Cricetulus griseus: one gene and its partners. The protein of the gene in region 2 purifies or fractionates together with the protein of the main gene of each other region. This does not show direct contact. Links are inferred from orthologs where the notes say so. Each region holds a gene or a part of one and is shown on either strand. Other genes may lie near its edges.

Region 1 (3,649 bases), on a different chromosome or scaffold from region 2:
GATTGTCACAGGATCAGGGGACTGTGCCTCGGTGTACAAGATCAAGTACTGACAGCTTCCATTCCCATCTTTTCCTCCCCCCAACTGCACAGTGGTGGATGTGGGTGGGTGTGAGAGTCCCATGGGTGTACCAACCCTTCCTCATATGTAATAAAGCAATTGAGAAGGCAGAGACGGTCTGTTCTGTCATCTGAAGGGATATTGTTCCAGCCCTTTTTAACCCAAGTTCTGGAAGGACTCTGGCTCTGAGCCTTCCAATTTCTTGATCACCTTTAATCCCAGCACTCGGGTACACCTGTGACCCCAGCTGGGTGTAGGTGTGGAGACCCTCATCAAGGCCCTCCATCCTCTTATCTGCCCTATCAATGAGGTCAAGACCAATAGGGGCTGACACCCAGCTGGCCCAGCCTCCGCACCCTTGACGCACATACAAAAGGAAAGCGAGTCCATAAATAGTTATATATTTCCCCAGTGCCTCCAGCCCCACCCAACCAGGAATGAGGGAGCTGGGGTGTGAGCAGAGGGAACGGCATCCAAGTGACCATCCTCAGGCAGGTGACCTGAAGATGCAGGCAGATGGCCTTAGTACACCACCTCATACACAGTGGCCTTCTTGTCCCCTGAGCCTGTCACGATGTATCTATTATTCCTGGAGATGTCGCAGCTCAACACTGAAGAAGACTCTTTGGACTAGGGCAGAGAAAGGAGAGGTGATGTTCAAGCCAGAAGCAGGGTACTTTGGGGGACAGTAAAGGCTGATGGGGGCAAGCATAACAGGTGACTCAGAGAGATGGTACCCAACTTCAGATGGCTTGAGGCCACCGAAGCACACATTTACAGCCACTCTGCTTTCTCTCTTCAAGTCTCATTCTACAAACCAGGCCAGCCTCAAACTAACCATGCTCCTGTCCCAGATCTTCGTCATGTTCCAAGGGGTCAATGGTATCCCAGACATGGGAAGGGTTGATTTAAAGGCATTCCACACCACCTCAGATGTAACAGCACTACTCAGGATTGGAGGTTGGTGGGGAAGATGGGAAACTTGGAAGACAGCTATGTCATGTCCAAAAAAAGGTCCAAGAGACTTGGAAGCCACTATCGAAGCAGAGCCTAGGACTGACCAGGGAGAGAGCTCACCCAGCACACATGAAGCCCTGGCTCTGTCTGCAGCATCACACACCCATCCCATCCTCAGTCCCGCCTCAGCCTCCTATCTAATGAAATGACGGGATGGCAATAATCCATTCTGAAGGAGGGAATGAAAACCCAGCTTGGTCGATTCACTTCTAGGAATATTCAGCCATGAACTGCTGGAGCATGGCTCTGACACTTGCCACAGCATGGACCCCTGGACATCGTGCTCAGTATGCAACCCAAAGTGTGTGGGTCTCAAAGTCCGGAATGCAAAGGCAGCCAACAGCTGGGGAGGAGGGTGGGTACCTGAAAAATGCTGGCCCCGTAGGGTGTCCTCCAGGCATTAAGCAAGTTGTCCTTGCCTGTGCTCACAAACCAGCGTCCTGGGGAGGGGACAGAGAGTTAGAGACAGAGACCAGGACCTCCCAGGGCAGGGGCTCTGCGCCTGAATGCTCTGAAACTCACTCCCCCAGCCTGCTAGTCTGCAATGTCAAAAAGCTGAGAGCTGTCAGTCAAACCCCAGACCACTGGCTTCCTTTGTCAGAGAAGTCATGGATTTGGGGGGAAGGGGGTTGTCTGTGGCAGGAGGATTGCTGTGAGTTTGAAGGCAACCCAGGCTTCCAGGGAATACTCTCTCAATGGCTGAGTCTTTTCATATGGCAGGTAGCATGAGGAAAATTTGGGTTTTTTGTTTTTTGGTTTATTTGGTTGAGACAGTTTTCTCTGTGTAGCTTTGTAGACCAGGCTGGCCTCGAACTCAGAGATCCACCTGCCTCTGCCTCCCAAGTGCTGGAATTAAAAGCATGCGCCACCTGGCAGAAAACTTGTTTTAGCCAGGCAGTGGTGGCACATGCCTTTAGTTCCAGTACTCAGGAGGCAGAGGCAATCGGGTCTCTGTGATTTTAAGACCAGCCTGGTCTACAGAGTGAGTTCCAGGACAGACTCCAAAGCTACAGAGAAACCCTGTCTTGAAAAAAATTATCAGCCGGGCGTTGGTGGTGCATGCCTTTAAACCCAGCACTCGGGAGGCAGAGGCAGGCAGATCTCTGAGTTTGAGGCCAGCCTGGTCTCCAGAGCGAGTGCCAGGATGGGCTCCAAAGCTACACAGAAGAAACCCTGTCTCAAAAAACCAAAAAAAAAAACAAAAAAAAAATTATCTTTGGTGTGTGGAGGTAAGAGGGTCAACATGGAGTGACTTGAGTAGCTTTTTTTGTTTTCCAGGACATGTTTTCTCTGTGTAGACCTAGCTGCACTGGAACTCTGTAGACCAGGCTGGCCTTGAACTCAGAGATCCACCTGCCTCCCAAGTGCTAGGATCAAAGGTGTGGCTACCTCACCTGGTCCATCCTTTTTTTTTTTTTTTTTTTGAGACCTGTGTGTCTGAACTTTTACCTAAACTGGCCTTGATTTCAATAAGCAGCTGCGTGGACAGGCCTGGGTAAATCATTCTAAGGAGCCATTTTGGGGTGCCCCATCCTCCCTCTACTGTCCCTGGGGCCTCCCGGGCCTGTACCACAGGAAGCGAATTTGAGCGATAGCACACAGCTCTCGTGCAGACGCAGCTGGTACTTCTCAGGCTTTCCAACGTGCAGGACTTCCACGTGACTGCTCTCCATCCCAACGGCCAGCCAGTCCTGGTTGGGACAGTGACCCAGCGAGAAAATCTAGGGCAAGAGAAAGCACCGAGATCTAGGAGTGCCCCACGTCTCCCATGGGGACAAAAAGGTGGCCGGTAATAGGTGTCACACCCTAAGTCTAAAATCTAAGGCACAAACACAGGGAACTGCAGAATTCTAGGCAGAGGAAGCTACACAGGTGGCTCAGCCTGGGATCCAAGTCCTGCTTCTGAGTAATTGGGAGACTGCATTGAGTGAGTCACTCTTTGCTGCGGGTATTACTTTGGATTTCTGAGACAGTCACACTGTGCAGTTCTGGCCATCCTGGAACCACCCGGTGCTGGGGTTAAAGACCTGTGCCATCAGGCCTTGTGTTTGAGGCAGGATCTCTCACTGAACCTGGAGCTCACCTATTCAGCTAACATGGCCCTCCAGCCAGCCCCGGGGGTTCCCAAGTCTCCACATGCGGGGGGGGGGGATGGGGGGATGGGGGAAGCGGGGTTAAAGACAGTTTTTTATGGGGATTATGGGGAATTGAACTCAAGTCCTCAAGCTAGCTAGGCAAACGCTTTACCCACCCAGCCGGCTCAGGAGGCCCCTGGTCCTATCCTATCCCGGGCCAAGGAGAGGCACCCTGAGGGGGAGGCCAGGACTGCGGGTGCACCTGGGAACTGAAGTCATGCTGCTGAAGTTGACGGCCCTCACGCAGGTCCCAGCAGCGCACAGTGTTGTCCAAGCCCCCAGTCCACAGCCGGGTCCCGTAGTCCGATATGTCTATGCAGCTAGCCCCATCTGTGTGGCCCTGGAATTGCCTGTGGGTGGAGGGCAGGCGTCCACATCCACCCGTGCATCCCCCACCCCAACCCGGGCCGCCCTACACACCTGACCATGGCCTGGTT
Region 2 (3,649 bases):
AACCTGGGCTACCTTGAGAAAAAAAAAAAGTTGAGAGGGTGACATTTCGAGGGAAGTTCTAGGGAAGAGGGAGAAGGATAAGTAAACTGGGCATTGTGGCATGTGACTTTAATCCCAGCATGAGGGCAGGGGAGCAGCAGTGAGGCCAGCCAAGGCTATAAAGGAGACCTTGTCTGAGACACACAGGTGCATGCATGCACGCACGCACGCACGCACACACAAGTGAGCACAGGTGCCTGAGGTAGCAAGACCTAGAGTTACAGATGGTCGTAAGCCTCCTGAAATGAATGCTGGGAACCAAATTTCTCCAGTTCCTTGGTTTTACTTTAAGCAACAATACAGATTTCATTTATGCCAAGTGTGGTAAGCACATGCCTTTAATCCCAGCACTCAGGAAGCTAGCTAAGGCTGGGCACACCTTTAATCCCAGCACTCGGGAGGCAGAGGCGGGAGGATCTCTGTGAGTTCGAGACCAGTCTGGTCTACAAAGTTCTAGGACAGCCTCCAAAAGCCACAGAGAAACCCTGTCTGGAAAAACTAAAACCAAAATGAACAAATAAATAAATAAATAAATAAATAAATAAATAAATAAATAAAGCTAGCTAAAGCCCACCAAAATAATCACTTCTTTTTTGTTTTTTTATTACTTCTTTTATAATACCGTTTTATGACTCCTATCATTTTGTAACTAAAATTCCAAAATTAAGTAAAAGTTAGAAGTTATAAACTTCTTTTGTTCACAAGTTTTTGGCTTTGTGGTTTTCTTTCTTTTTTTGGGGGGGGGGCGCGTGAGATTGGTGAGCTTCTCTGTGTAGCCCCAGTTATCTTGGAACACTTGGAGATCCACCTTACTCTACATCCTGAGTCCTGGTTTGCACCACCAAACCACCTGGTTTTTTTTTTTGTTTGTTTGAGACAGGGTCTCACTATGTAGCTCTGGCTGTTTTGGAACTCACTATGTAAACCAAGCAGAACGAAGAGCTCCATCTTCCTCTGCTTTCCATGTGACACCACACCTGGCTTTGCTTTTGGTTTTTTTGAGCGTCTCCCTTTGCATCTTAAGTTGCTGGTATTAAAGCATATACTCCCCCCACCCACCCACCCAAAGTTTCTCCATACAGTCCTGGCACTTTGTAGACTAGGCTGGCCTCTCTACCTCCCAAGTGCTGGGATTAAAGTAGCACACCACCACCACCACCACCACCACCCAGCAAAGGCATGTATTTGTATAATTTCTTCATTGTACTATTTGCACCAAGCAAATATAGCCTAATTAGTAGTTCTCTACATTCAAGCAGCATTTTCAGGTGTGGTCCTCTTCCTCTTAATGGAAAACTGCTAGCTGCTATCTTCACAGCACAGTGCAACCAAATTAGCAGTACTCATACACAACAGGACAGGACACAACAGTAAGTCTCGAATAACTCTAAATATCTCACTCCTTATGCTCCTCAGTAGACTTGAATATCTAGCTAGACAGGTCTATCATAGGATACATTTTTCCATGGCAGCTACTAACATGGCATGTACTAAACTTATTTTTCTCTTGGTATGCGCATGTGGTGTAAAGAACAGAGATCAACATCTTGTGTCATCCTAGAGTTTGCCAGTCCCAACAGACTAAGCCCCAGGAATCCTCCTGTCTCCACCTTCCCAACACTGGGTCACAGACACAAGTGACTATCTGTTCTCTCTCTCTCTCTCTCTCTCTCTCTCTCTCTCTCTCTCTCTCTCTCTCTCTCTCTCTCTCTCTCTCCCCCCTCCCTCCCTCCCTCCCTAAAGCTGTGTGTGTGTGATATGTAGAAGCATAGAGCATGTGTGTTGAGGTCAGAGGACAACTTTGTGGAGCTCTTCCTTTATATAGGTTCCAAAAATGAAACATGAATGAAACATGAGTAATCCGTATTCCTTTTAATATTTATATATTCCAGTCAATCTGAGCCTCCCATACTCTCCATTTCCAGTTCTGCCTCCATACCTGATTTTCTTCAGAGTGCTGATCATATCATCCAGTGCCATGCGGTAAGCACCAATCACCACTGTTGGGTGCATCTGCTGCTCTAGAAAGTGCTCAGCCACAGACAGCATTTCTCCCGCTGCAAAAAGATCACAGGCATCATGGCAATGCATTTGAAAGTAGCAGGAGATGAAGACAACTTAATTTCCTTATGCTTCTAAAAGATACTTCCCTAAAACAGATTCTCACCAAATATGCATTTGGCTGTTAATACTGTTCCAGAATTTATATTTTATAGACATCAATTCATAAAAACATTTATTGGATACATTTTAAATGATCAAAGATTGATCTTAAGGGCTTACCCTTCTCTTTTTTTTAAATCTTTCTAATTAAATATATACTACAATTTTCTAACAAAAATAAAAATACTTTTTCCCCAAGAAAGACAAATACACAGGGCATTTACTAACTCAATACCTTAGGATACAGCCAAACTGCTGGCACTAAAAACAAAGTACAGAAGCTGGGCTCACTAACCCTAGCACCAGGAGGCAGATGCAGGAGGACCAGGAACTCAAGGCCAACCTTGAGATACCTCCTGGCTATTCTTAACAAACCATAACTTATTTCAAGTTATCTTGCCCATGTATCTACTAGCATTTTATTTTTTAGATTTTATGCATGTGCTTTGTATACATATATGTATGTGTACCAAGTCCTGCTTGGTGCTTGGTGCTTAAAAGATGGCATGGGATCCCTGGAACTAGAATTATGGATGGTTGTGAACAAACATGAGTATTGGGAACCAAACCTAGGTCTTCTGCAAGAGCAAGTGAGGCTGGAAATGGTTCCGAGGTCAAGAGCTTTTAACTGCTCTTACAGAGCACCTAACTCAGTTCCCATCACCCAAGTTAGGTGGCTATAAGCAACATGTAACTACAGCTTTGGGAGACCCAAAACCTTCCTCTGACTTCTGTGGGCATCTGTATTCCTGAGAACACATCCTTAACACAGACACACATATTCATGTACATAGTTTAAAATAAAACCTAACCACCCCCCACATGCATATAAAGAGATAAAACAACTCATGTAAACATATCTGTCATAAGAGTTCTATGTAACAAGAGCCTGGCTTAAAAACAAAATACTCTAAGCAAATCAATTCACATGCAATAAAATATGCATTAGTTGATGAAAATGCTGTAGTCAGAAAAAGTTATTAACCTTGTATTGCCTAATTAATAGTTTGGAATTCACTATTTGTTTGTGGTGACTTCACAGAATTTAACAAATTTGCATAGCTCACACCCTAAACATAAAACAGCTCATCCTACTCAAGGGTGCTTTACACTCCATTGCAGAAAATACATAAAAAAATTACCAGCTGGGCAGTGGTGGTGCACACCTTTGATTCCAGCACTCGGGAGGCAGAGGCAGGCGGATCTCTCTGAGTTTGAGACCAGCCCAAATCCCAGGGACCTCTACAATACACTGTATTTCTTTTGTATTTGTATATGGGTATTTTGTCTGAAGGTATATATGGGCACCACATGTGTGCCTGGTACCCAAGGACGCTAGAACAGAGCATCAGATGCCCTGGCACTGGAGTTAGACAGCTCTGAGATGCTGCTGGGATAAAAACCTGGCCCTCTACAAGAGCAGCCAGGGCTTTTAACTGCTGAGTCA
Region 3 (3,749 bases), on a different chromosome or scaffold from region 2:
CCACCAACGCCCGGCCCAAATTTCTTGATAAGTATTATTTTGTCGTTGCTGGATGGTGGTGGGACACAGCTTTAATCACCAGTACTCTGGAGGCAGGAGCAGGTGGATCTCTGAGTTTAAGACAAGCATGGTCCACAGAGCAAGTTCCAGGACAGCCGTACTACACAGTGAATCCCTGTCTCAAAAAACCAAGAATAAATAAAAATAGAAGCATGCACAGTAGACTTGTTCACACAGGTGAACATGACCAAAAGATAGTTGCTAAATGTATACCATTGACCCTCAAGGATTCCAGTGTCTGTGTTAACATCACTTTCGTTAAATACTGTACTTTATGGGCTGGAGAGATGGTACAACCCTGGAGAGCCCTGGCTGTTCTTGGAGAGACCCGGGTTGGATTCCAGGCTCTCACACGGTGTCTCACAACCATCTGTAACTCTGCCTCTTCTGACCTCTGTGGGCACCTGTACACATGTGGTACACTTACAAACACTCAGGCACACACAAATACACATATTTTTAAACTGTGTTTGATTATATTGCCTAACAATTCGATACAACCTCTTTCAATATCATTGAAAGCATTTAAATTTTTATAACGATGTATCTAGATCCAGGCTTTTGTACATTTCAAATTCATGGCACATAGACTTTTAAGGTTGGGTTAGCATTTGGCTTTTGAACACCCCCGGAGCGAGGAAGGAAATCAATCCTAGAATTCGGGAGTCTTTCTAGTGTCTATAGGACAGCGCAGGAAAGCCTCGATCAAGCTGACCTGGCCCTGAATGTCTCTCTCGGGCCTGTAAGAAAACTGTTTAAAGTGGCCTTGGGCCTGGAGAGGGTCCCAGTTTGGCACAGGCTGCAGGACCGCCGGATTTAGTGCCATGCAATAAACGCAGGAGTCTTCCATTAAGGTAATTTGACACGTTACTTGAAGCGGAGAGAGACATTCAGAACAGCAGCAACAGTGGAAAAGTGACAGGCTTCACTCTTAGGACCCTTGGCCTAGAACTTGAAGGCGCGCAGAAGGGTACACTTGCCCCCAGGCCACCCACGCCCCCATTCACCCGCACTGCGCCGTTATCCGTCTGACTGACATCTTGGCTAGCCAATGATCTTTGGGACTTTAAAAGAGCCCGCCTCTTGGAGTTGGGCGGGGCGAATCAGCAGAATGACAAACATTTCCGCCAATGGTGAGGAGGACGCGGGTTGCTAAGGCTGTATTGACCAATAAGAAGAAAGAACAGTTTGGAAAGGACATACCCGGCAGCCAACGCTCGTCGTCGCTACGGAATCGCGTGGCTTCCGTTCCGAGAGGGCGGGCCGGCATCGCAAACGGAAGGTGGTAGTCGCTGCCGGAGCTTGTTTGAAACTGGTGGTCGGGCCGGGCGGAGTGTGTGTGTAGCGGAGGACCCGCCGGAGGGCTAGGCCGTTCCTGAGCGCCCCGGTCCCGCCGCCTCTCGGACCCGCTGACCCCAGCCGGGCTCCCCGCCCGTCCCGTGCCCCAGCCCGCCGCCTCTCCGGCCGGCTCTGCGGCCCAGCCGCCACCATGTCCCTGCACGGCAAACGGAAGGAGATCTACAAATATGAAGCGCCCTGGACTGTCTACGCCATGAACTGGAGCGTGCGGCCCGACAAGCGCTTTCGCCTGGCGCTGGGCAGCTTCGTGGAGGAGTACAACAACAAGGTGCGTCGTGCAGAGGCTCGGCTTCTCCTGGCGGGGAGTGCTCGAGGTGGGCGGCAGCCCCAGATCCCGCAGCTGCCCCGCCAACTTGCCTTCATAGCAAGGGGGAGGTTCCTCCGTGTGGCCCTGCTGGTGAGGGTGTTAACTTTGACAGCCGGGGAAACTGAGGACAGTGTCGTGGCATGCCTGGGACGTAGTGTTTTGTTTTGGTTTTTTTGTTTTGTTTTGTTTTGTTTTGGTGGCAGTAGCGGGTTTCAAACCGGAGTTGAAGCCTCGTCCTGTGCCGCCTCTCCCATCTCCCCCACTTCTGCCGCAGTGCTTCTGTTGCTAGGCGGGGGGCGGGAGAGAGGCAGTGGAGGAAGATGCGGGCGCTTGGATTGGTGGTCGTGCATTCCTGGCCACGCGAGATTTCTGTTAGGGCTATTTATTGCAAGATCTTCCCCATCTCAGGTATTTCTCATGGATACAGAGCCCTAATGCTAGGTTGTCATTGGTCATTGGTTTTGCTTCCCGATGTCCACCCCCCACACACACACCCAGTCTATCCTTGGAAACCTTGGTCTGTAGCATTATCCCGCCATTATTTCTGAATAGAGGAAGATGACATCTGACCTTTTCTTTTCGTGGTTCCTTTCACGTTGATTTGCAGCATTGCTGGACATCCGTCACTCCATCAAAACGCTGGTACAGGAGAGAGCTCTTAAGCTAATACTTCGGGATATAGTTTTGAAAGTGTTGAGAAGAATCCCCCCCCATCTCTTGACTTAATTCTTTTGGTTTAATTAGAGTTTAAAAAGGAAAAAGAAAAAAAAAAAAGAATGACAAGAGATCAGAGCTACTGCAAGCTTTGACCAGTGGTGTTTAAAGCCAGTACTCTGCTTCCTCCTGGGATCATCAGACTGCAGACAAGTGACCAGATGTTAGGAGGAGTGAAGAAGTAGGTGGTCTAGGATTTCGCTAGACCACCTTGCATAGACCAATTTTATTATTTCTAGCCCACAGTGATACAGGAAAGGGATTCGGTTTTAAATGTGAAGATTCAGGTGAAAAGGTTTGAACATTTTATGTTTGTAGTATTTTAGGAGCGCATGTGTTTCTCTGGGTAAGGGTCCTCATTTCTTTCGTCCTCTTTGAGAAATGGGTGAAAGGGATTGTCTTTCATTGCCAATACTTCACACATACACAGTAGTTTACAGTCCCAGAGAGTATGCACTGATCACCCCGTTCCTAAACAAGAACCTATTTCTTTTCTCTGATGGCTCTTTCTCCCACAGTGGCAGGAAAACTGGGGCTGCCTTTCAGGGTCCAGGTGTGGGTAGTGTTAGTAAGTTTAAGACCACTAGAAAAAAGCTGTTGTTTAAGAATTTGTGTAAGAAATAAATGTAAAATGTGTCCATCAAAGGACCATAGTTGTTTTTTTTTTTTTCACACACACACAAATTAATTTTTTTTCCCTTTAAATTCTTCCAGAGTCTTTTATCTAAAAGAGGAGACATTGACTACCTGCAGAGGCCAGAAGAGGGTGTCACAGTCCCCCAGAGCTGGAGTTACAGGCTGTTGTAAGCCACCCAGTGTGAGTGCTGGGAACCGAACTAAGTCCTCTGCATGAGCAGTGAATGATCTTGTCTCCAGCACCTCGATTTAAAACTATGAACATGCCCAATGCCTTCTGAGGAGCAAATATGTAATATAAAGTAACCCTCAAGCTGGGCCTGGTGGCTTTTATTTGTAATTCCAGCACTTGAAAGGTTGAGGAAGGAGGATTTTTGTAATTTTGAGGTTAGTCTGGGCTACATAGTGAGCTCCCAACCAATCTGAGTTACAAAGTAAGACCTTATCTCAAACAAAAAAATAAAATCTGACTCAGAAACGTGCTCTTTACTTTCATCATTTCTGTGAATAATGCACATTATATGTTATTCATATCTTGTGGCATTATTGTTTTTGAGGCACAGTCTCATGTAATCCAAGCAGACTTTGAACTCCTTATCTACCTGCCTCCACCTCCCAAGTGCAGGAAATTATCTATAGATGTCACCATGTCCAGCTACCTTGTGAGTTTTGT

The links.
Region 1: the proteins of Cct3 (region 2) and Tle2 purify together in Homo sapiens (affinity purification with mass spectrometry; 3 studies listed by BioGRID and IntAct, with this or other methods). This does not show direct contact. The link is inferred for Cricetulus griseus from reciprocal best matches to the Homo sapiens genes CCT3 and TLE2.
Region 3: the proteins of Cct3 (region 2) and Dcaf7 purify together in Homo sapiens (affinity purification with mass spectrometry; 4 studies listed by BioGRID and IntAct, counting the BioPlex papers as one, with this or other methods). This does not show direct contact. The link is inferred for Cricetulus griseus from reciprocal best matches to the Homo sapiens genes CCT3 and DCAF7.

Annotation. Positions count from the first base shown.
Region 1 is NC_048598.1:102,337,747-102,341,395, reverse strand, and holds the end of Tle2 (transducin-like enhancer protein 2), read right to left. Parts: coding exon 3,633-3,649; intron 3,563-3,632; coding exon 3,415-3,562; intron 2,799-3,414; coding exon 2,648-2,798; intron 1,518-2,647; coding exon 1,441-1,517; intron 691-1,440; coding exon 583-690; 3' UTR 446-582; downstream 1-445. Other genes in the region: Tle6 (transducin-like enhancer protein 6), read left to right, coding at 1-52.
Region 2 is NW_023276806.1:66,186,868-66,190,516, forward strand, and holds part of Cct3 (T-complex protein 1 subunit gamma), read right to left. Parts: intron 2,097-3,649; coding exon 1,979-2,096; intron 1-1,978. UniProt on the Homo sapiens protein: Component of the chaperonin-containing T-complex (TRiC), a molecular chaperone complex that assists the folding of actin, tubulin and other proteins upon ATP hydrolysis.
Region 3 is NC_048600.1:118,968,212-118,971,960, forward strand, and holds the start of Dcaf7 (DDB1- and CUL4-associated factor 7), read left to right. Parts: upstream 1-1,326; 5' UTR 1,327-1,549; coding exon 1,550-1,687; intron 1,688-3,749. UniProt on the Homo sapiens protein: Involved in craniofacial development. Acts upstream of the EDN1 pathway and is required for formation of the upper jaw equivalent, the palatoquadrate. The activity required for EDN1 pathway function differs between the first and second arches.